Linked DNA regions of Caenorhabditis elegans. The protein of the gene in region 1 interacts with the protein of each later gene in a pairwise test. Each region holds a gene or a part of one and is shown in the gene's direction. Other genes may lie near its edges.

Evidence for each region.
Region 2: the proteins of egl-13 (region 1) and znf-782 interact in a two-hybrid assay, tested with the Caenorhabditis elegans proteins (one large-scale study listed by BioGRID).
Region 3: the proteins of egl-13 (region 1) and peb-1 interact in a two-hybrid assay, tested with the Caenorhabditis elegans proteins (one large-scale study listed by BioGRID).
Region 4: the proteins of egl-13 (region 1) and jun-1 interact in a two-hybrid assay, tested with the Caenorhabditis elegans proteins (one large-scale study listed by BioGRID).

Annotation. Positions count from the first base shown.
Region 1 is NC_003284.9:5,661,032-5,668,017, forward strand, and holds the start of egl-13 (Transcription factor egl-13), read left to right. Parts: upstream 1-2,805; 5' UTR 2,806-2,879; intron 2,880-3,333; exon of another isoform or gene 3,334-3,473; intron 3,474-5,456; exon of another isoform or gene 5,457-5,649; intron 5,650-6,817; exon of another isoform or gene 6,818-6,962; intron 6,963-6,986.
Region 2 is NC_003282.8:1,062,823-1,070,125, reverse strand, and holds the start of znf-782 (C2H2-type domain-containing protein), read left to right. Parts: upstream 1-2,600; 5' UTR 2,601-2,644; intron 2,645-6,940; 5' UTR 6,941-6,947; coding exon 6,948-7,303.
Region 3 is NC_003284.9:2,208,389-2,218,554, forward strand, and holds peb-1 (FLYWCH-type zinc finger-containing protein peb-1), read left to right. Parts: upstream 1-2,662; coding exon 2,663-2,707; intron 2,708-3,853; exon of another isoform or gene 3,854-4,144; intron 4,145-5,069; exon of another isoform or gene 5,070-5,192; intron 5,193-5,247; exon of another isoform or gene 5,248-5,629; intron 5,630-5,846; exon of another isoform or gene 5,847-6,194; intron 6,195-6,417; exon of another isoform or gene 6,418-6,603; intron 6,604-6,841; exon of another isoform or gene 6,842-7,058; intron 7,059-7,241; coding exon 7,242-7,364; intron 7,365-7,431; exon of another isoform or gene 7,432-7,553; intron 7,554-7,562; coding exon 7,563-7,664; intron 7,665-7,719; coding exon 7,720-7,893; intron 7,894-8,250; exon of another isoform or gene 8,251-8,513; intron 8,514-8,716; coding exon 8,717-8,914; intron 8,915-8,969; coding exon 8,970-9,557; intron 9,558-9,611; coding exon 9,612-9,713; downstream 9,714-10,166. UniProt on the Caenorhabditis elegans protein: Putative transcription factor. Binds to specific sequence motif 5'-[TC][AGT]TGCC[GA][AT]-3' in regulatory elements of target genes such as myosin myo-2. May modulate gene expression, perhaps acting in opposition to transcription factor pha-4.
Region 4 is NC_003280.10:9,109,834-9,116,867, forward strand, and holds the start of jun-1 (Transcription factor jun-1), read left to right. Parts: upstream 1-3,323; 5' UTR 3,324-3,457; coding exon 3,458-3,569; intron 3,570-6,783; exon of another isoform or gene 6,784-6,842; coding exon of another isoform or gene 6,843-6,894; intron 6,895-6,991; coding exon 6,992-7,034. Other genes in the region: T24H10.4 (Transmembrane protein 53), read left to right, coding at 1-28, 90-228, 275-782, 970-1,215. UniProt on the Caenorhabditis elegans protein: Transcription factor that recognizes and binds to the AP-1 non-canonical enhancer heptamer motif 5'-TTAGTCA-3'. Required for ovulation. Controls plc-1 expression in the spermatheca to regulate spermathecal valve dilation.

The DNA of each region.
Region 1 (6,986 bases):
CCTGCATCCCTAAGTTTTAGCCCTTTAATGTCCAGATAAGTGTTATCCTGTACGACAACTTAAAAAAAGGATCAGATAAAATATAGTGGTATCTTGAAGTCTCTATAAATCTATTGTCTCTATTAGTTTTTAAGACGCTTCTTTCGATCGGTTGCGCCATCAGCATGCCATTCAGGAAAGGAGGAAGAAGCAAGTTCTCTAAATCTCTTTTCGGCTATTTTTTTCTAGAGTGCCGCACGGGTACCATCACCAATCGACGCCGCCGTCGTCGGTACCCAGTTCACCTCTTCATTTGGCTTTTCTCCGCGTGTGTTTTTTGTCTATTCATTCCAGTCGCGCTAATCGTCATCTCCAAATACAGTTATATGCCATCCGTACGGTAGTGACCAGTGGCAAATCAAATCAAACAGGTTCCGAGTGTCAATAATAAAGACGATGAATGAGGGAGAAATGAGGAGATGGTGGGGGGAGGCAAAAAGGCAAATCGCAAATTATTTTGACACTACCTCCTGTGTTTGTATGCATTTGCCGCAATGGTCATCCGCTTTTGCGTAACACGGGTACAATGGGCGGCAAAATTGAGAAGGAAAAGCAGGCAAAAGAAGGCAAAGCCGGCCTTTCTCAGGGAAAGAAATAGATTAACCGGTGGGAGGCAAATGAACAAGCATGGATTTTTTCGGATCTGCATACATACAAGGTCTACCTATGGGTGTGGCGCTGAATATATATCTTTTGTACTCCGATTGATGGAGTTTCAGCGATTTGGGTCACTGCCACCGATTTGGCCAATGGTACTTGAAACATACTAGCTGTTGATGTAGTAATGAACTTTGTAATAGGTACCTTCCAACTAAATTTGATTTATAGTGTGTTCCTTACTAATGAATATAACAATCTCTTCTGCTAACATCGAGCATTTTCATGCTCCAAGACAGTTCACCATAACCCTAGAGCTGTTGTTAAAAGTTTTTCATTTTACATTTGTGGTATTTCATTAGCATTATAGGCTCTTATATCCTCTAGACTCATAGCCAAACTAGCACAACCTGTAAAAAAATTGGTAAGTTCTGATTTTTGGAGTAAAAACCTTAAAAGTATGTTCTTTTTGAGTTATGAATGTCATAAATCTTGAATTTATCAGGGAGCGATAATTTTGCCAGCTATGAGACATAAGAAAAACCTCCAATAGTAATTTTTCATATCAACTTGTAAGAACATAAACATTAGTCACATCACGCGTTGTGCAACAGTATTTGAGTTTGCTTAGAAAATCGGAATACTAAATGTCTCAATCTCAAATTCAAGTTCAAGCATAGATCTAAAATTTTAACATTTCGATGTGTTTTTTCAGTTCTTGTGTTTTTAACAATTCTAAATATGCAAACCTATTTAATTTACCTAGTTATTCAGGGTGGTTAATAACTGTGTAAGTTCACTTGTTTTAATATCTCGTTCCAAAAACAGAAACGTTGAGTTACTGCAAAGTGGTCGCCATAATTATGGGCGACTCTGTATATTCTTGAACTAGAAAACCGTATCTTTACGGTTTCATTTGTGATAGCCTTTTGACCTTATTTTATATAGACTTATATAAGAGTTCGTATACTCTAGGATTTTGTTGTATGTAGTAACTAAGATTTTTTTTAATATTCCAAGTTCCTAGATGTCATAACCTCTCACTATAGTTAGAACTTTTTGGCCTACTTAAAATTTCTAGGCTATATTGAAATACAATTTCAGTGTGTTTCAATATTCTTTACTGTCAAAAGCTAAAATGTCCACCTAAAATACATTATGATTGATTCCCGTCCTCGTATTGCGATGCCCTCTTAGTCTATCATAAATGCATTTCCGAATCTTCGAAACGAGGTTGAGTAGGTGCATTGTGTCAACTAAAAGAAACATTATGGAATTGTTGCAAGTGGTTCTCGACCTATTACCATTTCGCGTTCTTTGGAAAACTTTTGCGCCATTGGTCAACACATCCAGTTCTGAAGAAGCGCGGGTCCCCACCGTGTCTCTCCGACAACACACCACCACCACCCACTTTGCAGAGAAGAGGGCACAGTGTGTAACTTATTGTGAGACGATTCAGAGGACAAACAAATTGCGTGGTCAGTTTTGTTTTCAGGTGGGGTGGTCACTCTCTTTCATTCTCTTCATTGTGTGATGGAACACAACTACCTTGAACCACTTGTCTGATACCAGTTCCCTCTTCCAATCACCTAGACAACCAATACCAGCTTTTTCCTGTTTTCTCCCTCTCTCTTCTTCTCTTGGTTCAAAGTTTGTTGTCTGAAATTGCCAGTTCAATTGGGTCACCATGTCTGAAACTAGTGACCAATGAAATTTCGTGAACAGTCCAAAACAAAAAATTAATACCATAGGCTTCCTTGTGGGACAACTAGTTATATTTTCTGTTTGACTACTGAACTTATGTTTCTCTAAGTGTTGCTTTCTACTTTCAACCAAACATTTTTTTTCTCATTTTTCCATTTTGCCCCCATCTTTTATTCACTTGAACCTTTTCTCTTTTCTTTTTCTTCTTACCCTCAAAGGACAAATCGTGAGACTATCCTCAATTGAAGAAAAGGAATTTCTGATATATATCTGTGCAATATCTTTGTTCTCCTTCATAATTCACAATTCATTCAGCGCGTGTGAATCGTTTGAATTAATAATGCCACTGAACTCAAATAATCGGCCTTTTTAAGTTTCTCTAGTTTCAATTTCTAACGCTTTTGATTCTTCTTTTTCAATGTTTTCTTCAGGCTTGAATTTACAAACGCAAATTTAAAATTCCAGACACTCCAAATAAAATCAATACTCCATAATACTGCTGGATCAGTAACAACAATCTCCCGAATGGCTCTATAGTGGTGAGTAAGAACTAGTTTCCGTTCTAGTTTCTACTGTGCCATGCTCTTTCCCCTTTTAATGTTGTGAGCACTGTTTTGCTTTTTCATTGAAATAACAAAACAAGTAGAACAAGTATTTGCACCAGCAAGCATCTGGTAAGTATTCTCTTCCTCACCAACTTTACTTTTCTCACACTTTTGCCTATATTTGCGCATTTGGAGCAAGAGCAACACTTCCAGATTTGGTGACAGATTTCAAAGAATTATTACTTTGTCTAGTCTTATTTTCTCCTTGTCGTGTGCCGTTGTTGATCATAATAATAGTAGGCCAAATCGCCGCACCCGTCACTGCTCATGATCCCTTTAATATCCTAGCTAACTCCGAGTTTATCATCATGTGCCTCCTATGGGCACTGCCAATTCCATAAATAATTGTTTTTTCTTCTTTTCTATCTATCCTTTGTGTTATCCTTCTTCTTCCATACTTTACCTTATCAAATATTCATGTATTCTTGACAGACTGTAAGGGATAATTGGAGATCTCGATGATGAATTATCCTTGCTCTTGTGTTTGCAGTTTTGGTAGGGTGTATATGTCAATTATTTCTTTTGAATACTCTATTGAGAATCTATTGAAACCATACTCTATTCAGCTTGAGCTTCAAGGGAGAAACATGCGAGTGATCATTGACATACTTGATTGTAGTTAAAAACCGCATTTTCCGTATTAAACTTGCACCCCAATGGATTTACCTCGTATATCAGTCTTCTTAAGTTTTACCAAAAAATTATTTACTGTTGAAATGTACAAAAACATTTTGCACATAATTTGCCAACCGAGATAGAAGCTGTCAAAGTAAAGCAATGAGAGTACAAGACTAATACATTACAACTAACGTCTATATCATCCCTTTTCTAATCTGGGAGTTTGGTGCTTCCAAATTATTTTCAGAAAAAAACGTCAGCACAGTTTGATAGCAAATGCTGCAAAGGATATGCTCCCCCAGTTTTATGATGATACCTGAAAATTAAGTAAAAATTTTGTAAAAAAAACATTCATCCAACTTCTATAGCACTCATCGGATTTTTTGACAGGGGCCAGTTCTCGGCTCCTCATAATTTTCTCGTTTATTGTTAAAATTTCGAACTAAACTTTGAGATATAAGTTGTGAAAATCAAGGACCATAGGTTTTCAACATTTTCTATTGAACTGTACTAACACCTTTTCAAAAAATATTTTCAAAAACACCAAACTCTCAAATTAGTGGGGTGGTGCTATAGACGTTGGGCACACTGTAGAGAAATATTTGGTGGTATATTAGGTCTCCAAATAAGTTCCGGGTCAAAAGTCATAACTTTGTTCGCTGCGTATCGATTTTTATGAAACTTTGGGAATTCATGTTATCAACTATGATCTTTCATTTGACAATAGTCACAAAATTTTTTGACCACCCCAAGTGCCCTAACTCGGAACCAATTTTTTCAGGCATTTTTCTGATCTCGCTTCTTTTCAAATTTCAATTGAGGTTCATGGTTACATCATTTTTGTAGGAAAAATCTAGAATTTTCGACAAAAAATTTTTTTGAAGATTTTTTGACGACCAACCAAAAAAAATTTTTTTGGACGGATTTTTTCAAAACTTTTGTTGTTTTCTAATAATGTATTCTAAACAAAGAAAAATCCGCACACAACCCTCAATTCAAAGCTGAAAATAAGCGAGATCAGAAAAATGCCTGAAAAAATTGGCTCCGAGTTAGGACACTTGGGGCGGTCAAAAAATTTCGTGACTATTGTTAAATGAAAGATTATAGTTGATAACATAAATTCCCAGAGTTTCATGAAAATCGATACACAGCGAACAAAGTTATGATTTTTGACCCAGAACTTATTTGGAGACCTAATATATTTGATTTACCTTTTTTTGAAATCTTTCTTATTTGTTGTGCATGAGACTTAACTTTTTTTTCATAAACTTATCACACAACAATTCTTCGCAAAACACTACAATCGAACATCATTCCTGCTCATCAAACATCTGCGCTGTCCCACTGTCCCAGTGTCTCATCGCTCGTCAAGCCTATCAACATTTTTTGTCCCAAACTAAAAGTGCAATGAGAGCTCCATTGTATTGCACGAAAAGTTTCTCAGTTTCTCAAAAAGTGTGACATCGAGAGAAAAAGAGCACCGTTGTTTCGAGGTTCAGCCGCCACAAGAGCCAGTTGTCACCGGCGCCCCGGATACACGGAACAAAGCCATGAGACGTATGTTCTATTAGGTGTTCAACTATTGCTAACCTGTCACCTGCCCCGACATTATTTGATTATCTATTGTCTCGTTAATTGATGGTAAGTAGAGTGTGTGACACCTTGAGAAACGATTCCACAAATATCACCATTTTGAACGTGTTGAAAATATCCGTCGAACTAACGTTTGTACTCGTAGTATCACTTTTTCCTATCCGTTTTTCGTGTTTGAAATCTTTGATAGGAAGATAAGACACAGGGAACCCCGAGCTCTTGATGGAACAATGCCTGCCAAGATGTTTGTCAATTGTTGCATCTTCCTGGAAGACGACAAAAGTTCCCCCGTTTTTCATCTTTTCGTCCCACTCTCATACGAATCTTGAACAGAAATTGTTGCGAAAATTTTTTCTTTCAAAAACTGACCTCAAATCAGCGGAAGGAGTCACTTGTCACACTTGTTCTTCTTTTATATATCACACTTAATAACACCTATCTTTTGTTGTCAAACCAAAACGGAGCTCTTGTAATATTCAATATTGAACGAACATTATGCCCTTTCCCATTTGACAAATAGGCCTTGATCCATCCTGCTCTAGACTATAATCGGCTTAACCAGGCCTTGCTCATAGATTTCGATTCTTAGCCCCTGTTTCCTCCATCCCCACAACAACAAGTTATCCAAGGGCAACATCGATGAATTGTGGAATTTGATACTAACGGTCCCGCGGGAAGGTGAAATTGAAGTATTTGAATTATTGTTTAATGCAAAAAGATCAAAGGTTCTAATGTTCTCGTAAGAAATGTTGTATCAAAAGAAACCCATCACCATTGATGTATACATCTTAACAAGGACCGAGTGCACATTTTCCCACAAAACCATTTTCTCAGCTTTTCGAGAAGAAAAGAGACAAATTAGGTGTGTAGAGAATGGTATTGTTGTGAATCGATTAGTCATAGATTGCTTTTTTTGGTCGGCCGTTTCACCCTTTCTTGGCCATTACTAATTGTAAAAGGGTCTTTGACCATTATTAAAACTGGAATACAACTAGAAAAGTTTAAAGCACTACTGACCGAAAATAGTTTTACCATCCATGCAAACTAGTACTACAAAATAGGCTCCCTAAATATTAGAATACTATATAAATGTTTTGGTATTGAAAACCGCTTTCTGGAAACTTCAATGAGTAACTTAAAAGTAATCGTGATAACTAATTCATTATCACCTCTATCATTTCTATCTTTTCTTGAATCCACAAAACGCTATTCGACACCTGCTGTCCATTGCTTACTTACATTTCAAAGCACTTGTTTGCGTGTGCAAGCCTCATGAATAAAAGCATATTGAGACATCCGGTAGACAGGTATACGGTAGGCTGATGAATGCTCAGGGGGAGTCCATCATAACCACCAGCAAAATTTCTTCTTGTCTTGTGAAGCTCCTAAATTGTGCCATCTTTCCTGGCCCCGTATTTCATAATTGTTTGAATTTGTTATAGCAACATCTGTGTGAAATGAATCGCATGTTGACCTGCCTTAAGACTAATGACTCGTATCGCGATGAGCTACGAGAACGATTATGCGAATTTATAATCACAGGTGGTCCCAGTCGAAAAACTCTCCCTCTCTTTAATAAAAGTATAGAATTGGGAAATTGATGTGCATGCAATGTAACATGTAATACATGTATGTACAATTCTTATATTCCGATTTTCTTCGAGTCTTTGAAATGACAAATTTCCGTTTCCTAACGCTTTTCCATCAGAATAATAAGTGGCGCATGTGCATAACACTGCACAAAAGTGATTAGAAAGCATAACATTTCCTGTTGCTGCTTGATGGACCCATTTCCGGTGATGGCACGTCGTCTTGTCCAGGTGTATGTGT
Region 2 (7,303 bases), on another chromosome or scaffold:
GTAATTGGTAATCTAGATGCCTTCAGGCTCTCCCGTTCTTCGCTAGATAAATAAAACAGCTTGATACGCCTAAACAGGAAGTTGCATCGCTCATACCTACAGTTCGACCTTTCAAATCTGAAGCTAAAGTCTAAGCTTGATCCGTTTGGACTAAATAAAAACTTTTAGCCCGAATGTATGTAGACCAAAATGTAGACTCCCTGTACTATATGTAGGTTCTGTATTACCCTGGCTTACACCTGTTGTTCATCTTCTAGCTCAGTTGTTTCTTACTCAAAGTCCTTGAGTTTTCTAGTCCAAAGACCAGTAGGCCCTAAGCCCAAGGAGGTCCAGTAGGCCCGTGAAGCTCAAGACCCCTTGACTTCAAGAATTTTCAACTCCAAGGTCCCAAGCAACCCCTACCCCCCCCCCCCCCCCCCGCTCCTAGTTTTTTTCCTCATTTTTCTGCCAGCCTAGTCTCTGCTAGGCAGGCGGAGCCAGTGTGCCGGTCGGTGCCAGCGCGGTGCGACGCGGAACGACAACAACAACAGAAGTTTCTAGTATTAGTCGTAGTAGTACTAGTTGGTCGACTGGAAAAGTACCTTGAGGTGTCAGAATTGCAGAGAGCCAAAGGTTGGCCTCAGGTCTAGGCTTAGGCTCAGGCTTAGGCTTAGTCTAAGGATTAGGCTTAGGCTTAGGCTTAGGCTTAGGCTGAGCAGGGGACAAAAAGAGAGCAAAAAGAAATCCCCAGAAAATTCAATAATTCTGAAAAAAACCTGACCTTTTCGACCGGTTTTTGGGCTTTTGGACTTAGAAGGCCTACACAAGATTTTTCTAATGCTCAAGTGTATGAAAATCGAACTAGCGTTTTTGATGCCTCGGTGCTTATCACCTTAGAATTCCTATGCCCGTGGGCTTTGTTTTTTTTTTGAATTTCTCAAGTTTGGAACTGAATGAAGCAATGCTTTTGCACCCCCGTTTCCCTTGCTTACTCGGTTCCCTGGTTCCTTGCACGATCCCAGACCACTTTTGGCTCCCCGGTTCCCAGGCCCCCCTTAGCCCCGCTGGTCCCGTACTCCTTCCGCTCCCTGCTTGTTCTCCGCGTCTCTGCCGCTGCCGCTGCCGCGTCGTCGTCATTTTCCAGGCAAAAACATATGAAAAGAGCCATGGGTGGCTCCAGGTGGTGACCCAGCACCGTGTATTTGTGTGTGTATTTCTCGATGCTTGCAGCAGCAGCAGCAGCAGGAAAAAAGAGTGAAATAGTGTGGGGGAGGTGTGGCAGCATGTGAATCATGGATAGATGGGGGGGGGGGGGGGAGGTTTTGTAAAGAAGACAGAAGAAAAAAGTAGAGAACATACAAATACAGAAAGATATGAAAAAAGTTTTTTAGTATGGTACTTTATATTTGGTAAAAATTCGAATAAATATTGGTCCTTCTTCAAGGATCCTTTGGCCAAACTTGGGGTCTAAGCTTAGGCTGAGGTTTGAGCTCAGGCTTGAGCTTAGGCTGAAGCTTAGGCTTGGGCTTACTTATTGAAACCCTATGAGATAAAATCCGGGTCCTAGGCCCAAATTAAGCCTATTCTGCCAGACGAAAGACCCATGGTTCTTAAGTTCCCATTGAGACCAGATCGGCCAATATTCAAGGGCCTCTTTTTGAAACTCTTTGAGATAAAATAAGGGTCCTAGATCAGGATTAGCGTGGCTAAAAATAAAGTACTTAGAGCCCTGTTTGTAAGCCTTCCAGCCTAAGTATGACCTGCAAGATTAGGGCTTTCATAGACCAAATCAAACTTTCAGACCGAAATTCAAGTCCCTATGCCTTTTTTGATACTCTTTATGATAAAATTTTGGTCCTAGATCAGAATTAGGGTTTCTAGGCTTTTTTTGCCAGACTAAACAGGTAGGAAACGTAACTCAACACTTGGACCATTTAGGTTATTTTTGGGGTATTGTGGCCCTTTTTGCTTCATAACTCCTTTTTGGGCCAAAACTAGAGTCTCTAGAACCCTGTTTGTAACCCTTTCGGGAAAAGTTATGGCCTGGCCAAGACTGGCCAATATCAATGCCTTTACAGCCCAAATCAAACGTTCAGACCAAAATTCCAGTCCCTAGACCGATCACCTTTTAGTCCGTAATTTGGCTCCCTACCTATAAAAAGTATAAACATGCCAAAATTAGGTTGCAAAAAAGACCCAGTCTATGATTTTTGGCATTTTAGACTCCGTTAGGCTGAAATATAGCTCAGGATCCTAACACTTAGACCTTTTTGACCTAAATATAGATTTCTCAATTCAGAATTTCAGTTTTTAGACCTCCTAGACCTATTTGAGAGAATTCTCAAAAATTGTGCGATTTCCCATACCCTTATCAATTTTGTGTTGTTTGGTGGTTTGTTGCTCCTTCCTTCTTCTTCTTCTTCTTTTTTGAATGTCATTTTTTCAACCACTGGTCATTCTTTTTCCCACACTCTGCGTCTCTAAGTGGCCAGCGGGGGGGCGCCCCGACGTGCCAGTCGACACCAGGAGGGGCGCGCGGAACGAGCCGATAGAGCGTGCGAGACGAAGAGACGCAGGCATTTTTCCGCAGTGCTCGTCGCGTCGCATCATGCCGCTTCCGCACTCCGCCGCGCGCGAGGACTCTTCGAGAAAAAGACGAAAAAACGTGAGTGAGTTTGGCCTATCTGGAGCTCTCTAGAAATTTCTGGGACCTGTCTAGGCTTGGACCCATCTAGGGTTGGGTTTGGGCCCTTTTTTATCAGTTTTCAAGTGCAACATTGAATTTCAAACGACACTCCGTTATCCCTCTAGTGCTTGATGTTTAGCCAATTTAACTTGAAGTTTTTTTTTAAAGAAAAAGTTCCAAATTTCGGGCCAACTCCCTCTAATCACAGATTAAATTATGAATTTAAAATTTATCAGCTTTGCACCACCGACCACCAAAACAAAATCGATTTCACCACTAGAAGCCTTCAAGTTTTGAAATTTACTAGTTTCTAACGACACTCCGCTATCCCCTAGCGCGCTCTGTTTATCCAATAATTTTTGGTGGGAATTTGAAATTTTACATGACTTTTTTGTGCATTATTACCAGCTTTTTTGCACAAAAAAAAAAGAGAACTTGCAATTTTTCAAACTTTCAAACGACGCTCCGCTATCCCACCAATCGCGCCCTGTTTATCCAGTAAGTTGTCTATTGGTAATAAATGTTTTATTCATTATTCTATACATTTGTAGTTGATATGTAACTAATATCGCTAAAATAAACCAAAATAAAAACATGGTGCATCGATAAGTTTTGCAAACTTAACTTTACCAGCTCTATATCTAAATTGTCTCTGGGTTTATAAAATAATTATCAACTGACAAAATATTGCTCACCTCTTTTTCTACATTAACCCGTGGAAAAAATTACAAATAGCATAAAAAGCCGAGATATTGGCTTGCCTAACATAGTTTGCCCAAAAAAAAACTCGACAAAAGTGACCAGTTTTCTCTGAAACAATGACCTGGTCATTTGAACTGGTTTCTCACCATCCCGTCACTCTTTCAATTGTCTACTTCTGTGTTTGGTTTTTTTTTGGGAGGTTGTTTTCATTTGTTGTTATATGGGAGAGAGAGAGTGAGGCTATTGTTTTATCTTGGGACTCCTCCTCTCGGAACTTTTTAATAATTGTTTCATTCTTCATAATTCCTTACATATTTTGGCTGGTTTTGGTTTTATCGGAATTTTTTTTTTTAAATTAACACTTCTTAGATAGAGTCTGTCGAAGAAAAGTTCTGAACATGGTGCATCGAGGCCATATTTCGGTTACGTTTAGTTAAGCTGTTTTTCATAATTTTTTCTACATTGATTTCATATGACTCAACTTTGAAGTGTAGGGCTCCTATGTAGGCGATAAAACGCCTACCTGCCTGGCCTTCAGGCGATCTCCGCCTGCCTCAATACTTATGCTAAATCATACGTGTTTTTTTTTTCTTTTTTTTTTAATTTGAAAATCATCAGTGTAAATACACCTAAAATGCATAAAAGGGGAAAAAGCAGGCAGGTTTCAGGCAGGCTTCAGGCCCCGCGCCTGCCTAAAATCTAGTCCATGCACCATGATCTGAAATCACTATCAACCCAGTTTTCAAAGGTCCTATCCACATTTTCCACCAATCCCGTTAATCCGTACTACATGTAGGTCAAACACATGGTTTTTGAAATCCAACTAGATATAGCCATAAATGTTTGTATGTGGTCAAAGTTTCTCTCTCATTTTTCCAACAAAAAAAGAACGCACACACACACATATGTTTGTATGTGGTGTCTACCTATTATTATCTATGGTTGGACGGGCATCATCATGTCACCGGCAGGCACCCATAGCTCCGTGCCAGGCCGCTTGCCGCCGCGCCGGCAGGCATGCGGTCACGCGGAATGGGTTACGAGGGGGTAACCTGATACCACGAGTTGGGGTGACCAGGGTATGTGATAAGGTAAAAGGTTACGTATTTGAGTATTTGAAAATAAAAGGTTAGTGATTTTGAATGGGAAATAGGAAACTTTGTGAAATTTAAAAAAACATGGTGCATCGACTGAAAATCCTTCGTCAGCTTTTTGACGTCTTGTATTTCAGTTGTGTTTGGTGTTATCAAAACATTGTCTAGTGACAAAATGTTTATTATAACCTTTTCTATAATAATGTAGTTTAACAATTTTTGATATCTCTTTAAAAAACCAAGATATGATCATTCAAAGTAAAATGCCAAGCACAACTTCATTGGTTCAAATCTTGGTTGTTTTTGGTTCAAAAATTGGCAACAGACAAAACATTTCTTATATCTTTCTCTATAGTTCTATTTTTAAACATTTTTTGATATCAGTAAAAGTAATCGAGATATAAGCTGTCAAAGTTAATCGGCAAAACATGGTGCATCAACTGTTACAGTGATCGTACCCCTATCGTAATTTTTCTGTAATTCTACAGTAGCCCTACAGTAATACTACAGTAGCCCTACCGTAATTTTTTTGTATTTCTACAGTAGCCCTACATTAATACTACAGTAATCCTACAATACCCCTCTAAAACCTCAAAGTTTTCATGTAGTAACTGAACCCCTCCAGGTGCAAAAATTGCTGCCAGGTGCAAAATTTCACGAGGTGTTCGGAAAAGTTTAGACTCCTTAAATGCTAAAAATCTTTTTGGACCCTTGGATTCTTTCACCTCTCCTCATACTAATATCCTACTCTTTCAAGACTACTAGTCCCTAGTCACCAAAACATAAATGACGAATTCCTACGTGCGTTCTTTTGCTCCTTTTGCTCCGCGCGGAGCCCACCGAACGCCGGAGCCAAAACAATTATTATATGCCGTGTGTGTGTGTTGTGTGTGTTCCGCGCGGATAAGAAGAAGACGCAGTTGAGAAGAAGCGTGCCAGTCGCCGTGTTTGTTTTGGCGCAGCGTCGTCGACGGGGTGGTCTTGAAGAGCGGCGAGGAGGCGCCTGGTACCAGTAGTCGGGGTGGGGTGGGTGAGGGCTAGGGCATCAGAGAAACCAGACGTTTTTTTTGTTCGCATGCTTCTTCTCCGCTGTGTGTTGTTGTGCTGCTGCCACCTCGAACGTCGGAACATCATGGCACTGCCTACCGCGTCGGCCGCCGCCCGGGAAAAAGAGAAACACACAACACACAACACCCTTCGAGGAGTTCAGTTTCTAGATCAGCTGACACAGAGTTGTCAACAAAAACAGAGAGCATCATCACAGAGACTGGCACCGCTGCTGCAGCTGACCACTGGGGCGGACGCCTAGGTCATTGTGCTCTGGAACTACCTAGTTGCTTCCCTGAAGTTTGAAATGCATAGGTGTTCAATAATCTTACTGTAATGCTATAGTCCGTGACTCCTCTATACGTCTTGTTCATTCATGTCGATGCACCATGTCTTCCTTCCAACTTTGACTTCTCATATCTTAGCCCAGATTGTAGATATCTTTAAATTTCTAAGTATCAAATCATAGCCAAGAATATAATACACATTTTGTTAGTTGACAACTTTTTTATAAAACCAAAGGTAGCCGAGATATAAGTTGTCAAGCATACCGACGATTCACCATGTCTCCCGTTTTTTTGACAACCGATATCTTGGTTCACATTAAAAATATCAAGAAGTGTTCAACTACGGAACTTAAGACACTATACTTGATAAATATTTTGTTAATTGATAACTTTTTGATAACACGAAACATAGCCGAGATATGAGATATCAAGGCTATGGTCGATGCACCATGTCTTCCACTTTTTTACTGCCAACTTTTTTCTCTTTTATTTTGCATCATATCTCAGTTGCCTTTAATCTTATCAAACCTTTTTCCACTGACAAAATACTTCTCATCTTCTTTACTCCAACTTTGCTGTTGAAAATTTCTTGATAACTTTTTACCGAACCAAGATAAAAGCTGTGAAAGTAGGTCTGCATGACATGGTGCATCGACTAGAAAAACTGCGATCTTTGACTGCTCATATCTCTGTTGCCTTTGATTGTATTGAAAAGTTGTTCACTGACAAAATATGTGTTATTCCTTTTTCTACAACTTTACAGTTACAACTTTTTTGATACTTTTTTTTTTGAAACAACATTTTTTGAAACAGAGATATGAGTTTTCAAAGTAGAGCAGCATTTTGATATAAAATAGGCCGGTTTCCAAAAAGCCAGATTCGATTCCCCAGTGTGGCATTTTTTTTTTTGATTTTTTTGTGATATGAAAATATGCTTCAAACTAAAATCTACTTATAATCAGGCTTATAAGTCAGAAACAGAAACAAAAATATTTGACCACAACGGGGATTGAACCTTGGTCCTGTGTGCCTAGGTTCATCAAAAAACCCACTGCGCCATTTGGCCAAACATCTAACTTTGCCAATTTTCGTCGCATTTTCTTCATTTTTTCTGGTCTCCAATTCTCAAATGTAATTTTTTTTAGAGTCAACATGACACTTGACTACCACCAGCCTACCACAACCAACACAACACTGCCCGATGATATTCACATGAAAGATCCCGAAGAGGAAGAGTTCGAGGAGTACGAAGACGAGCTTCTCGAGGAAGAAGAAGAGTTTGACGAAGAGCTCGAGGAGCTCGAGAACAGCGACAGTGCTTCATCTCTAGTGTCCGCCGGCTCACCACACGGTTCATCGTCATCAAATGGCTCACACGGATCCTCACCACCGCTTCAAGTTCAGAGCCCATCTCAGGGCTCAGGATCCTCGGGATCTCCTACAGGTCAGCCGGAAAAACGGCATATTTGTACAGTTTGTGGAAAGGGATTCTCGTATTTTTCAATTCT
Region 3 (10,166 bases), 3.5 Mb from region 1:
ATCTCGTCGTCTTGTAACCCCTGCCATATTGGGGATTTTAAATTCTCCAATTGTTTTGGCGGTTCTAATGTCATGTCACAAAGTTGACCCAATTGTTTTGTAAAAAGTGATTAGAGAAAGTGTGCCGTCAAGGGTAATCAGTTTGTAGATTACGTAAGAACCACACAGTTTTGCGGAAGATCGAGAAGATTGGGAAAAAAGTATGTCAGCACTTAACGTCGGGTGGCAGGTATGAAGAAGTACAGAATTCGCGAAAAACCCCTTTGAAGGACATTTGCGGTGGCGGAGAGTTAATTTAAAGGTCTTCTTTTTCTCAACTGGTTGACCCCCCATACAACACTTTCATTTCCGTCAACTACAAAATAAGGAAATTGTTTCACGTTACTGTCATTTGATCGTCTTTTTCTTTGCATTGAAGCAAAGCGGAGCGGCTCAGTGAGAGCCTCCCAACAAGGAAGTAAAATTGAGTGGGAAAAGACCGTAAGACGAGGACGGCGCTCAACTTTGTGCAAGCCCTGTCTTCTCTACGTTTCGTTCGACGCACGGTTTTGGCACAATTCAACCTGGTGCGGCTCTACAAACACCACGTACGTATAGTGGTGTGCGCGTTGCGGAGAGCCACAGCAAAATAAGTAAGCGAGAATAATTGAGAAGACAAACAGGGGCCCCCTCCCGAGCATAGATGGCCGCCGAGCCACACAGTGATGACCGGCGGCGCTGTCACGAAGGTCCACACCAACGGCGTCTCGATAACACTCTCGGCGCAAGTCAGACCACAAATCGGAAAGAGGTGATGGAAAAAGGTCGTCGCTCCATATTTGCCTACCAGATGCAAAACCGTATAGTTATTCAATTTATGTTTGCCTGTTTATTGGCTCGTCACTACTTTCGTTTGTTGTTGGGCGAGTGACCATTTGGATGCGAAGGCGAAATCGAAACCGTATCCACCCCGTGTTTACTGCTACTTGAAAGTTCTCATCCAGACGGATTCCGTGTTTGAGTGCGTGTGGAGGCCGGAGCAAAATTTCACAGACACAATGAAACAACCTTGTGTAGTAGAAACAGTTTTGTAATTTGAAAAGTTTTTAAAATCAGACAACTGAGATTATATCTCGATTATACAAATCACTTGCTCCGGGTTTTTTTCTCTAGATTTCCATCGGTTTTGGGACTGCACTGGAGATTTTTGGATGAACATGTGAAAATTTTTTAAATAATGCACAGGCCGAACAGTCACACTTTGAAAATAAATTGATGTGATCTATGCAGATAGTTGCAAATTTCAAAAAACTCTACCCCTGAACACTGTCATTCTGCCATGCCATAATTTAGTTCAGTCGGATGAATGACCTTTCGTTGGCCAATTGGATGCGAAACACTGGACGGCACCGAATCGGCACGGCAAGTGGTACTGACAAGCGACAACAAAGACGGATAGACCATCAGTTAAATCAAGATAAGAATTGCTTGTGAACTTTTTCAGATATCGCATTAGGTCGAGAAGTTAATCAAATCATTGCTTTTTGAAGACATCACTGAAAGTGCCAATATTTTAGTAATTGATATTTACACAAGGGACCCCACTGAACTCATCAATTTTAAAATGTGATTTCCAGTTGATGTAAGCAACCAAGAAAAAGGCATATTACTTCAGGTTTTTTGCACTTTTATTTTCCAATCTCACAAATGTGGGCGTATGATGAGCGGCACACTCACGCATCCAAAAGTTTGCCGGATTCATAAAGTAGTATAGAAGTGTCTCACGAGCGTGGAGGGTGGCGCTGGCCCGAAAAAAAAATACGCTGAGACTGTATTGGAAAAGTTTAATCACGTATTTCGCTCGACTCGTCATTTATTTGAGCCTTAGTTTGTGTCTCGCCGTTTTTGGTTTTCCGCCTCTCCCTCATTCCCCCCGGTCTATTCCGAATTTGCCGCGACCCATCACAGGTCACGAACTTTAGTGCCCGCACGCCGCGTTTTGTATCTGCCTGCGCATCTACACGCTGACATACTATTTGTTTGATCCGCGCGGAACTGCCACAAACAACAACAATCTGCGTCCGGCGAAGACGTCGTCACCATATACCCATCTATTGCATCCAACTCATCTCTTTCTTGTATTTAATTCCTTTTTCACACACCCACACACACACACACCACACCACAGGTTGCAAACCATTGTATAATTTTCTGAAAAGCACTGTAACCAATTAGAAAACGATTTTTCAAAAGTGGAGCAGTGCTACATATATGATACCAAAATAATCAAATTTTGTATTAAAACTTTTAAAAAGTCAAAAAAAATCGTTTGAAATGTTTTTTTTACTGACAGTCAAAAAGTGGAAATTTTTAGAGTTTATGCCTCGAACAAAAACTGAGATTTTTCCAATTTCCAATTCCAGTTTGACACACATAGTGCAACTCCAATTGCTCATTATTTTATTAGTTTATTCTTACAACCATCACCCTTTTCCCAGATGTATTTCGTACCATGATGTGTGTATGTGTGTGTGTTAAAAGGTCATTTCAAGCTCTTCGTGAAAGGCACCCTGCTCAGTTTGTGCCCTGTTATGATCAATATAAATGTGTACTTTATTCCAGGGCAACGAAACGAGTAAACACCGAGAAAAGGAAGCATTCTGGATATTCCAAACTGGGGCTGATGATGACAACAACAGTTCAAAAAAATTGCTGGCGGCTTGACCAGGTGAGTGACCAGTTAGATTTGTTCAGCGACAGGCGTTTTCAGTCGGTGGTTTGAGTTTGCACAACTGTTTTCTTGTCCTTTGCGTGAGCCAAGGGGTTTGTGCTGAGTTACCCTCTATCTATTTGTCAGAATACGATGTGATGATCAAAACTTTAACATCATGCATTTTCTTGAGATCCATAAACCCCCCCCCCCCCCCCTCTCGTGTGCTTCTCTGTTTCTCGGTTTGTTCTCCTATTCACCCCGTTCGTTTCAGTGACGTGTCGTCGTTTGTTTCTGCCTGCCAAATATGGCTACGGGGGGGAATATGAATTAAATTGACTTGGTATCTATCATTCCATTTTTATTTTCTGGGAGATGTCAAGAAATTTTGGAGACGAGCGGTTTTTAAAATTAATGTAGTTTTTTTTGTTGTGTTCTCACATTTTAGTTTTCTAATCGGGGAAATGTTGGAGTAAATTGTAATTGATAGGTACACATTTACTTATCAATGGTTCACAGTTTCAGTTAATTATCAGTATTCATATGCGTTTTTATCTTTTGTATAATTTTAACATTCTACATTTTGCAACCAAAAAGCTCTCTATGTTTCTCCTTTACGGGCGGAAAGTAGTGCTGGCTTGTACCATTGCCAATCAGCTCTTTGATTAAAAAACCAACATATCAGTTGACAGTACCATTTTGCCCCTGCTCGACTTCAATGGGCCGCGCCAGATGAGTCAGCGACCTTTGCACACGAGCCCGGACAGTGCTAGGCGCCGGGGCATGACCAATGCGCGAAAGTTTTGTTGCGTAACCGCATGTTTATTGTCCGCTTGCCAATCGTTTTCACTTTTAGTGATACTTGCAGCTCGCCCTCGTCGTTATATTTTTTTTCTGACCGTCGACGCTTGCTTGCCTTCTCCGAAAAGTTTTGATATAAAACTAGCAGTATTTTTCGTTCTGTGGCTCATAGTTTCTGACGTCTTCCTCTTTATGACTTTACGCGGAAGAAAAGGGCAACATCTAAAACCACCCAGTAATATAAAGTGCGCGGTTTCGAGGGAACAGTTTCGAGAGAAAGATTAAGTAGATGAAGGCAGAGAGAACCAACATTTGCAAATATAGTACTAGGTTGGAGGAGTGCCTCGGCGCTGCGATGCCTGTCTACAAGTTTGCACTTGGCTGGTCAGTGGCGTTACGTGCCACTCTCTGTACTGCGCGAGACGTGGCCAAACTGATGCGAAGCACAATATATACACGCCCCGAAGGGTCATTGTTTGCCGTTTGCCCCCCCCCCCCTTTGCGGAAAGGCCTTTCGTACTGTACTCTTGATGTGTGCTTCCTTCCGGCCGGGCACCCGCCACCGTGGTTGTCACAACTCGGATGGCTCCCACTTCCTCCACTGTCGAAACCGTTCGGACCGCCCATTTCCATTTTGGCTCACGCCGGGCTCTCGCACACATACTTTCCACACTTCTACTGTCAGTGGTGGCAACTGGAAGCACTCCATAGTTGACTAATGACCTTTCTAACCTTGTTCCCTGTACTAGAGCTATCAATTGTGTATCATTTCTCTTTTACACTATTTCATGTTTGAATTTTCGAACAGGGGGTCAATCTCTGAGGCAGGAAGGGTGGAGCACCAGTAACGCACTTTACTCGTTTTGCCTTGGCGCGTTCATTGTTCCATTTCACAATTTTTCTCCTAATTTTCTAGACCACTTCAGTTTTTAGAAGCGCTAGATGTTGTTTCATGAAGTGACCAGTCTTGCGTGTTCAGTTTTTTTCTTGGCGTAAATGCCCACTCTTCTTCTTTTCTCCTAGCTGCCCCTTCTTCACTTTCTCCAAATCAAGGTTCAGCTATAGAAAGTAAAATCGCCTTTCACTCATCCTGGACAAGATTGACTACGAGCTTTTGCAGCTTCTAAGACTTCTTCGAGAATGGGGGGGGGGGGGGGGGGGGCGCGACGTGAAAATGAAGGGCATTCATGGATCCCGTAGTAAATATGTGATATCATCTATACCAATTTTCTGGATATCGAACTAATCATTGACGATTGCAAAATTTCGAAAAATTTGTAGGAGAGAAACGATTTCATCTGACCGATCCGAGACTGGCACCCCTTTGTTCTAGGCCCTCTCCCGATTGCCATAGAGATGTCCATCCATCACCTTTCCTGACAACCCCAGATGGTGGCGTATGTGTATGTGTGTGTTTTTTGACTAATTGGAAACGAAAAGCCGACTCCAGACTTGTAATTTTGCTCCAGCAATGTTTTTTTTCCAGATCTTTTCAAATTGACGAATCTGCCTTTAAACGTTTCGTGATAGACATAGAAATTGACATCCGGTCAAATAATTAGATGAAAAAACCTTCCATATTGGGGGCAAAACGTCCAAGTGAGAGTGGATCGGCGACTGGCGCCAAATTGCTGCTGCCGACGCAGTTACCATACTTGGATGTCGGACAAGGCGGATTTCGAGAGTTGTTTTTATGTACACACGCCTTTCACCTCTTTGCCCCTTGTGATCTTTTTTGCATTCGTTAGACGCTTCTTTCATTTTCGTTCCTCATCACCATCATCATCCACTACTAATGGTTCAGGGCACGGCGTATGCGCGCGCGTGCCTCACACCATCGGATCGCGGATGTTTTGGCGGGGTTGGCTGTTCATTTAGGGGGGAGGCGGCCGATTGAAATGAAGAAGATGTTGTGGATGTAGAAGTAGGAGGAGATGGAGGAGGCAAAGGCCTTCTCCCTCGCGGTTCTTCGTGGCAGGCAGCCTGACCCCGTTCCTTACTGAACCGCCCCCCCCCCCCCCCTCTCACTTCCACCCGACGCCGCCATCGGAATTTTAGACTACCAGTAGAATATGGATAGCGGAAGGTGTGAAACTTCAGACTGCGATTCTCTAGATTCACGCTTACTGTATTTCTACCTTACTACTAGTCTTGTTACGATTACCTTCCTAATTTTAACGTTTGATATGTTTTCACCTTCGGCTTCTATACAATTCCCATCATCTTGAAATAGGTATTATCAGCATGTAAGCATGCCAAACAAATATTTTTGTTGTCCAGTGGTGCTCGACCGTTCCAGGATCGGTATTATGCAATTTTTCGCTGAACCAAGCATATACATACTGATAAGAAAAATGTTTGTTCTGTCGGCCACTGATTACTAGACACTTGAATTCTGACCGCCATAAATGGCGAATCGTACGCGAGAAGTGCTGACGCCGTCTTGCGCCGATGTCCAATAGGACCTTGCACTTTGCCGATGTTGCAACAGTAATAGTTTCCATCAAGGTTATGCGGACTAGTGCCACGCGATTGGGTCAAGCCGTTGGCTTCCGCCTTTCTTATCAAAATCTTCGCCCTCAATTACCTAATTTTGTGGTTTTTTTTTTCTCTCCCGAATCCATCAATCCGGTGTCAATCCGTGTCTTCCGCGCTAGGTCATGCGGGCGGCGACGGCGCGGCCCTTTTTTCGGTAATCGTCCTGGCATCCCACACTTTCCATTGGCCCGGATATAATAACTTTTTGGAGACCCCCTTTCTGGTGCCTATTTGCAAAACTTGCTTCATTTTTGGTCACTTTTACTCGAACTTTCTCTTCGACGATGACCCCCTCGCCCGCCACAAAAACAAAAAGTGAAACTTGGAACGGTACTCGTTATACCTCATGCCTTTACTTTCTCGCGCCACTTCCTCGCAGTATTCCATGGATGGAAAAGCGGTCAAAAAAGTATTATGATCAGGCTGGCGGAAGATAGATGGAAGGAATTGTGGGTCAACGAAGTCAAAACACCATTACTCGATAAAAGTCGCCGCATGTTGCGGAATGTGTGCCATCGAAACTGGTTACTGTATTTCTTTTCCGAGAATTTTGCTTTGCCCCGCTATCAACTTTTTGTTCTATCTTCTTTAGAAATTCCGAATTAAATAATGATAATCATATACTTCTGTATTCTTTTTAACCCTTCTTTAGTCTGTTTTTGAAATTTCGACCAACCACCTCAACAAAATTTACCAAAATCAAAAAAAAAAGTGAATGTGTCAATCTCGTTTCAACGCATGTTTCTCGCCAATTTCCGTACAGTCAGTTGTGCCTCCTGCCGGTCACTCATCCTCTATCTCTTCGCCACTCTCGTTCTCGCGCACCTCATCCAAATAACAGTATTCGGTGTCTTAGTTGGCAGCCGGTTGGTGCCTGCCACGATAGGTTATCAGTTCAAATGGCACGCGCCTCTCTCGACTGCCCCATCAGCTGATTTGTCCGCCCCAAGCAACTGATAGTGCCTGGGGCGGAGAGATAGATGAGAAAAAATCGTCTGATTCTAGGTGTCTGAACCTCGCTCGCTATCCAACAGCAGGTCCGCTCGTTTTTTTTGTCACATCTCTCTTCGTTGGTCATATCTCTTTTTCATCATCTGTCTAGTTTGAGTTCAATTTCTAATTCATCAGAGGTCATTTGGTTATTATTATTCTATTGCTCCCATCGCTATTTTTTTTTGCTCATTTGATTTAACACATCAATTTTCCTTTTCAGACAATGCTGGGTCTTGAAAAGCCTGGATCATCAGACATTTCGTCTTCTTCCACTGATACTTCCGCCATTTCTCCGATTAGCGTGAGCAGTATGCCACTATCACCGGACAAGGAAAAGAAAAAGGTAAGTACTTTGAGATAACTGTTTGGACTGTCCGAAGGGCAAACATAGTTTTGAAAGAGAACGTTTGCATAGTTGACCGGTGTTTGTTCAGACGGAAAATTTAGGGCTTCCTTCCCACACGAATTTCAAAACAACCTGACACCGGGAAACACCGCCTTAACTGGCGATTTTGGGCCGATAATAATAGTTTTTTTTCAGATCTCATTTGTCCGATACAATCCAGACATTCCACAAATTGTCACATCTTTCAAAGGATATCAAAAACTTATGTATCAAGGCTACCGATATAATATTTATCAGGTATCATAGACCATCATTCAAGTGGTGACTTTCATCACGAGTTGTTTTTTTTCAGATTGCTCCAGAACGTAACTTCAAGTCTTGGAGATGCGTTTGCGCTAAGAAAATGCATGATGGGCAGTGGTGCAAATGCCGAGCTGAAACAACCATGGATAATAAAAACGCATGCACGAAAGGATCACACAATCACCCTCCAAGACACCATGTCGCTGAGATCGAATTTATCAAGGTACGTGGCGAGATTACACAGTCACAACTGTCTAGGTTAAGAGCTAGTGCCCTTTGCAATTGGCGCAGTGCCAGATCAGAGCACCGATATCATAAGGTTGAATTTGCCAGCTGACTCTTTTTGTTCCAATTGGTTCCTAGGCTTGGCGCCTTCAAGTTCGAATTTCATAACGTCATGTGGAACCTCTAGCTTTTGAGAGTGTCTAAGGGAATTGTGTGTACGTGCAAAAAAGATAACTTTTTTTTATTTCGTAACCCTTAAAAATTCACTTCATGGCACCAGTAGATGGAAAAAAAAGATCGTCGGCCCTTTTCGAGTGTGTCAAAAATAGTTTGTGTATACAAGTTAAAAGTGCAACGAGATGCGCTACTTTCGGCGCTGGGTGGCGCCGCCGAGTGCCTAGGTCAGTTGCGATGTTGGTCAGGTCAAATAAAACAATCTGAGCGTGGCACGGTTCGAAACATCGGCCACTCATGCGCGTGCCGCAATTTTGCCCCCCTCCTCCCTCCCATGTTGATGAACCGCGAATAATTCGCAAACAGATCCGCGCATTGCCAAGGTCAAGCCATGGATGGCAGGCACGCGGCAGCGCGCGCGGGGACAGGCTGGGCCATACCACCCGACTCGTTAACCTAGATGCGCCAATTTTCCCAAATCTATTGCGTCGCTGCCATTCAAATTGACGGTACAAACTTTTTGCGAATTCTTCCGAATTGGGTCATCGGAAGGGTCAATTCTGACGCAATGTAAAGTGCATCGAATTTCAAATCCTGATTCGACCTTTGTAGATGCAGTTTAAAAATACAAAATTATATTATTTCAGTCTCAACTATACTCTGCTGCCTTGGAAAATCCGGACCACGATGCTGGAGATCTTGTGAATCAAGCTAGCATGTACTTGAGTGATGGAGTGATGTTTGATAACAAGGAGAGTATAAAGAAAAGCCTAGTTGTTGCCAGAAATAAGGATGGAAAACCAAAGAAGCCAAGAAGTAAACGAATGATGAAGTTTGAAGTTGATGTAAGTTTTCGGTTAGAGAAAAACTAGTTTATTAAACTGTAATTTGTAAATTCAGGACGATGACGAGAATGAGTACAAAATGCCTAAACTGGAGACTGATATTTCATGCTTTTTGCCATTCATCAATAATATGGTCAAAGTTGAGCCACCATTCAGCCATACACCGACTATTCAAATTCCTCAACCTATCCCAACTCCTATCCAACATCAACAACAAGAGCAAAGCAATTTACTTCAGCCTGCAACGTTGAATGGTATGAACAATCCATGGATGGGAATGGAAGATCACCTCGCAATGATCTGGGCGGCAAATGCTATGTTGAACCCAGGCCTGGATGTACTTTCCACTATTGCTGCACTTTCCAAGCATCAGCAGCATGTCCAAGGTCCATCGCCTCAACAAGCTGCAACGGCTCCAACAACTGCTTCCCTTTCTTCAAATCTTTCTGTCAGTAGCTTCACACCGCAAATGCCCAAGGAAGCTTCCATCGCAATTCCAGCTCCACTTCAGGTGCTTAACTTGAAAGATCTGAAACCTCTTCCACCACTCGCGAACATTCAAACGAGCCCAGTCATTCAAGCAGCCAATCTACTTTTGCCAGTAGCCGCGTTGAAAAAAGATTCGAGCACTCAGACCACAGAGGTAGCTTACGACACTCTCACGTGATGACATCATTGTGATTTTTTTGTTTTTCAGGAAATCAAAGTATCTCAGTGCCTGACTTCTGGCTGCGGGTGCCGTGTGATCCGAATTTGCTGCTGTGATGAAGGAGTATGCCGACGAACAGCAGCATGCTAAAAAATACTAAACATCATCTCGCCGGTCGAGCATTCCAAACACTGTTCCAACTCTACCAACTGCCTTTCTTGGGTCTGGTTACCCGCTTTCCGTTGTCATACCCGCGTTTACCTTTCTACCCCCCTCTTCAAACTAGTCATGTTTACTTCAACCATCCAAAAACATAACTTATTAACTTATTATTATTATTGTTTATTTTTACTATTATTTTAACTATTGTTAGTCTCACGCAACGGGCACACTGTCTCTTGAAACTGATCATTTCGCATCGTTCGGCCAGCATTGAAAACATTGTGATACCTGATCCCCCCCACCTCAGTCATCAAAACGTCACGTTCACTTTTCACTGTTCTCTATGTCACTCCTTGAATTCTCACATCCTTATATTCTGATGTTTTCACTGATTTTCGCAACTCACTTTTTTTGTCTCAACCAGTCTCTTCTCCCACCCCT
Region 4 (7,034 bases), on another chromosome or scaffold:
GAAGCAGAGGATATCACTATTAATAAAGGTATTGTCTTTTATATAATCCTTTCTTATTCAAAAAATAGTTGTTAAATTTTTAGTTTCAGAAGAATCGAAAAAATCGGGTAATGAAGCTGCTATAAAAAATGTTGTTGCTGGTTCGAAAACTCTCGTTGTACTGTTCGGATGGGCCGGTTGTAGGGACCGATACTTGTCGAAATACGCACAGTATTATCAGGATGCAGGGTAAGAAAAAAAAATACCCTTAACTAACATCAAATTAATTTTACAGAATTTCTACAGTAAGATTTACTGCTCCAATCGCTAAAATCCGAAGTTTTTCGTCATATCGCCCGTTTGCATTGTGCTTTCATCGAATTCTGAATGAGATTCTCCACGACCAAAATGACATCACAACAATCTACTTCCACGTATTCTCTATGAATGGATGCTCTTTGCTCGCAGCATACTGGGATCAATTACAAGATCTCGAGAATGGAAAAGAAGTTCTTTCAAAATCCAGAGGACTTATCTTCGATAGTTGTCCAGCATTCACTAGTCCATCTCAAAGTGCACAGGCTATCTCGTTTGCCACACTTCCACCGAGTCATTACCACGGAGCATTGAGAGGATCATATCGAGCAGTTCTTTATACATTCTTCTCATTTCATAGAGGAGTTTTGTGGTTGAGATCATTCTTGGAGAAGGATATCTACGAGAGACACTATGCGTATTTCAAAATGATAACATTTGACAATCTACCGGCGAAGCAGCTCTATATTTATGGACCTGCAGACTTAGTGAGTTGAATTTTCAAAATAAAAGAAAAAAATAGGTATTCTGAAATCCAAAATTGAAAAAAGCTAAAAAGCTTCTTTTTGTTTACACTTCCTAAATTTTTTGCTAGTTTTTACAGTGTTTTAATTGTTTTATTCTAGATTCTAGAATCTAGATTTAACACATTTTTAGCTTAACAAATTTTTCCAGGTTTGCTCCGAAGAATCCATCGAAGAATACGCCCAGTTAATGGAGCAACGTGGTGTTTCAATCTCAAAACTTCGTCTTCTCGATTCTTTGCACTGCCAACATCTCCGATCTCATCCCGTGACGTACACTCAAGAATGCCTAGACTTTGTGAAATCAGGCCATCTACCAGCGAATAGAAGTCGTGTGCCGTTAGAAATAACTGAAGAAGCTGCACAAAATGATGTACCTGAAGAGCTTGCCTACTAGATTCATATCTATAGATTTTTATTGTTTCTCTTAATATTTATAGATGGTAATTCGCATAATTACTTATATATTAATTGACCGGTTCTTCCCATCTCCTTTCCCAACGTTCCATCTCTATGTCCCAGTTTTATTCGCTTTAAAAGCTTTTGCTTGATACTATTGACATTAGATATAAATTATTACTTTTTGAAAGTCCCTGCTATTACACGAAAAAAAGTTTCCTTCCTTCTAAAAAAAACTAAACTAAAAACAGAATCTTGGAAGCGTAAATATTATTTAGATGAGGGGCTCCTTATTACGTATGCCGGTGCGTGCACTTTCTATTTTCTTCCTTTTTTTCTGAATTTTTTATTTTCAGCCAGGCGTTTCCCTTTCGACGTAATTTGTTCTCGAAATCACCTGAAATGTGAATGGGTGGGCAGAGGAAACACAAAAAAAGAGAGAATTCAAATTGATTCTGATGTGATGCCATTTCCACTAATCTCTCAATTCTTACTCCCACCATTTTTTTGCAATGATTTCCGAATTTGTGACTGCTTTTTCGTTCCGATTTCATTTTGATGACCGTGTACAAAAAGATGAGCAGACAACCATAACGAACGCGAAATTGTATGGAATCGTGAGAGACATAAGTATGATTAGAGAAAATACGAAGTTATCAATTATGAGTAGATACTACTGTTGATATTGTAAATTGGAAAGTGAATCACAAATCATGACTATTGGAGACCAATGAAACACTTTCAGATTTATGTTCGAAACTTCGTACCCAACTTGGTTCCGAAATTGGCAAAACTTGGCCAATTCCTGGTTCACGAATGTACAATTCAAAAGCCTCTAGATATCAGCACAAATAAGCCAAATAAAACATGAAGTTAGTAATAATAAAAGATAATTAGCATCGATCGTGTTAGGCCGAATGACTATTCTTATGCAAATTACGGTGTTTCTATGAAAAAATTAAGTGCAAGTGCCGAAAAAAATCTACCAATCAAAATTAACTTTGCAAATGCGATACAAATTCCCAAATGCAATGAACTGATATCTACCGTACTTTCCAAATGGTATGGTACACGGTATGTTACCTTGAATAAAACTTGTTTTGATATCTAGACGAGTTGTTTGGTATGCTGAATAACATGGTAAAACAGTTCAAAAAATTAAAAAATGTTTGTAACTGTAGTCAAAATCTGGCTATTACTAATAATATGTTATCACGTATTACAAATATGAAAGATCTAGGACCGAACATGCAAAAATAGTATAAATTACTTTGAAAAAAAACCTTTTTTTTGCATTGTGCCAAAAACAAAACCTCAAACAATTTCAAAAAGAAAATCAAAATATGTTTAGATTTTGTAAAAATGATCTAGAGTATTTCTGGTCTAGTTGAAGTATGTGCAGACAAAATTCTCGAATGTCATAATCGAACACTCCAGAGTAAAATGTTCATTAACAGTTTTAGTAAATTGCCAAATTTTCCAAAAAATGTTTTCTGGTCGACTTCCAAAATTGGATTTACTGAAACATGAGTTTTTATTACTCTCGGTTTTTATTAATTTGAAAAACCGGATCAGAAAGCTTCAAACCCCTGCAAAAAACGTATTATATTTTAGTTATTATTGGGTGCATAAACAAGATCTATGGGTAAAAGACTAATGAGGTCAGGCCTAAAAAGAATGAAAAACAAGATGAGCTCTGAAAAAGCCAATGAACTTCCAAAAAGATAAGTGGCTGATGGAAAGGCAAATACAGAAGTCAAAGGAGCGGAGAGAAATGAGGGAAAAGAGACGGAGAACGTGAAGCAAGCACACTGACACATTATTTACGGTAACATTTTTCTGCGAACTTTATCCATTTCCTCTCTTTCTCTCTCCATTTACCTTTCTAAATGTCAATTGGGTGGTGGAAAGAGAGAATGAAAAATAGAGAGAATGAGAAACTTCTGGATTCTCTCAATTTTCAATGTTTTCTTTCAATGTTCGTTTGTCTATCTGCGTCTATGGATGTCATGGATCTGGAAAATAGAGAGAAAGAGATAGAGATAGAAAAAGAGAGAAAAAGGAAAAGAACGAGTCAGCAGAGGAAAAGAGACAAGAGTGAGTGTGCGTGTGACTCATTCTCGGGGCCCCCGCCGACTAACCCCCATCGCCATCGTCGTCAACCGATTCGTCATCAACTTCTCTTCCTCTCTATTCAATTCTTATTTGTCAAAAGGTTTTGAAATCAAAATAAAACAAAAATGGAAGAGGATCAAGAGGAACCACCATCCTCATCAACATCATCAGAATCTCCAGAAGTTGTTCTAAAAGCTCCAAAAGCTCCAACTCGAAGAAGGAAAAATTCCAAAAAGGGTTAGTTTGTTTGTCTAGTTCAAAAGTTTTGGAATACTTGATGATAAACCTGTCACAATAGGAAATGGACAATCATGGTTACAAAACTATAGTTTCACTACTATCAAAATGCCAAATTACAACTACCAAACATTTGTGATCTCGTGATTTTATCGTTAATTGATGAAGTTGTTTGTCAAAACATTATATCAATTTGTAGATCTATGTTTAATATGAATTCTTTGAACCCATAAAAAGTTTATGACGCGTGCCAAAAAAAACAGGTGGTTGTTAAAATTGTTTTGTATTTTTCTTAAATGATTTGTAAAATTAAATCATATTGTTTCTTACCAAATTGAAAGTTTTTCTATGCAACAATTTCCTTTCAACTGGACATAAAACACTTAAAAATAGAGTAAACGGTATAATCCTGGCTCCGCCCACTTTTATGAATGTTCATCATTACATTTTAATCATCACAAAAACTACGAGCGAGACTCTAATTCGGAGAGAGACGCAGTGATCGAGAAAAAAAAATCGAGTTGACACGTGATTTTCGATTCCAACGACGCAGCTACTGTAGTGATCGAAGCGGCGCACAGCTTTTCCCGCCCGTTCCATCTGGCAACTGTCTGCGTCTCTTCGTCTTATATGGTCTCTTTTCTTCGAACTGTTTTTTGTTGATAAACGCATATGCCTAGTTTAGCGGAAGTGTAGAGGCATTAGGGTTAGGATCTAGGAACTTGAAACTATATATATATATATATTCCTAGACCATATTCTGTAAACTTGGTAAATTTTTTGAACTTTCATTAAACCTAAATTCTTGATTAATATTTAAAATTGCAATTAACGGTAAAACTATGTTTTTTTGGAAAATCTCTACCTCCTACTCTAGCTTGTCCCCTAGCTTTACTTTGAAGATTTGTATTATTCAAATCCTTCAAAAAAAGCTTAAATATATTATGGTATACAAATCCGACAAACCTCATTTCTCTAAAACCTTCATCTAGAAATTTAACATATTTCAAACCCGACATTTTTTCACAAGAACTACCTAATAAATCACCACAATATGTCTCTCCGCCCTCTCTTGGTTTGAGAGCAATATTTCATTGGTTCGACCTGATTGTGCCAAATGATAAGACTAACAGCTGTTCCTTTCGGAAGTTTCATTATTAGCTCATCAGATCATTTTAGTACACTATTTGGGTTTTTTAAGGTTTTGTCGAAATTTATAGTTAGGTATTTTGAAAACGTTCTTCGAAGTCATATTGACAAAAGTACAATACGAAAATACAAAACACACTATAAGTACAGAAAATTCAAGCAAAAGTTCAAACAATGCTATTTTAAAATTGATTTTGAACGATCGAATGCTATAAAAAATCTAAAATGATCTTACAAATGGCTTATCCCGGCCCTTCGCTTCTCTATTTTACGTCGAATTTCTCGTTATCAAGATTTTTGCAAAGAAGATGTTTAAAAGTTTGTCTTGAAATTTTTTTTAGCTACGTGAGCTGAACTAATTTTCGATGCGTTTATTCTCGAACTTTGGTTTCTTAATTTCCATTTTATCCAGACATATTTTGTTCATTCGTTCTATCCGTTCCCATTCATTTCTTGGAATGAGTCATCGGGCTTTCGTAAATGTTTTGACACACACTTTGCCCCTTTTTTCCTTCCCATCTTTCAGTTTTTAGGCTCTGATTTCTGTTCCATAACATGCATGGGTAATGAGATGAAAGAGGCTATGGCAACTCTTGCGAAACAGTCATATGTTTGATGAAATATTCAGGCGAATCTCTGTTAGTATTTGTTCTCATTTTCTGCAGAAGTTGTTTCAATTTTAGAATGGAACCTGTAGGTAGTTAGTCATTTTGAACTCAGTTTTAGCTAGGTTACCCATAGTAGATCTATCTAGAGAGGTGCATCCTCAGGATCCACTGCCTGCCTCAAACCTACCCGCCCCTCCTGGCTTCATATTTTTGATTCAACGATGTTTGGCGCTCGAATTGTGTTAACTCATGAGTTATTAATATTTCTAGGCACAAGGCAGGCAAGGGTTGCCGTGAAGGCAAGCCAAGTTCCGATGAGGCGCATGAAGCCCTAGTTTCAGCCAATTCCCATCAAACCTGACACTAATCTTTAAAGAACATATTCATGACGTTCTGCTCGTGGAAGACTGATCTGCTCTAATATTTTCTTTTTGATGTTTATCTCTGAGCTTTTCTGGTTCTCTAGTTTCATCTACATTTTCTGTTAGAGAACATCTGAGAATCTTTTTCTTCTTCTCTTTTTTTCACTTTTTCTATTTTCCCACCATCATAAACACAAATTAAAGAACGTGCTTGGATGGAGCATTATGAAAGTTTTTCACTTTCCTTTTTCGTGTCGCGTATTCAAAAACTTTAAACAACATTTCCCACCAACTTTTTCTGCTAATCAGCGTAGTTCCAAGAACATCGTTAACATGTTTTGTTAATCAAATCTAACACGCGTTTCATGATCAATTGATGTTTGTGTTATGAAGTTATCTGAAACATTTTTCTTCATATATATTGAATCTATTTTTTTGTTATGCTTTTCTCGATTCCCGCCAATTTAGGATATATTCTTGTTGGAATTGTACTTCCTAAATGTGCTGATATTTTGGAAAACAATTATTTTCCGGGTCTTTTGATTTGATCTATGATTTTGCAGTGGCTGAATTTTAAATAATTATCAAAGAAATCATAGTTTTTGTAAATATACCTAAAGAACATAACCGTATTTTAATATGGAATTGATCAGAAAATAATCAATCAGTTGTTTCAAGAATCACCAAGAAATGGAAATTTATAATTCTCTATCCTACCAAAAATAGAATCGATTTCAAGTTTTTTCACATAACTAGAAATTTTAAAATAACCACCAGAACCACAGTTAAGGTAAATGGAACACAAAGTTGACTGTAAGGGGTTCGAGGGACGAAAGGCGCCTCGGTCACGCCTCGACCGAGTGGAATGCCTACTAGAAGCACAGCATCAGAGACTGTTCACGACATTTAACAGTTACAGTGATATGGTAAATAACGAATTAGCAATATAATTCTTCCCGTTTGTCTTGAAATTGTAAGCAATTCAGTGTGCTTTCAGTTCATCCTGAAATGTCGGGTTGTTGAGTAGTGAGTCATACTCGCTTATCACCAAAAATGGTTCTCCACCTCCATCTCATTCTCTCATCGTTTCGTTTCGTTTTCTTCTTCTTCGTTTTCCGATTCTCATTCTTCTCTATTTATTTTGTGAATCGATGATGAATAACTCGTTTGATATGAATGTGACACAACATACCAACTCTTCACCATGTAAGGGTTCATTTTAAGAGTGACAGTTTCATTTTCAAATGACACGAATACCAAAAGACTAATTCCAATCTCTGAAGTATTAAAAGTTAACTTTCAGATCGGCGACAGGATATGGAAGTAGATGATGGCGAGAAGGAAAG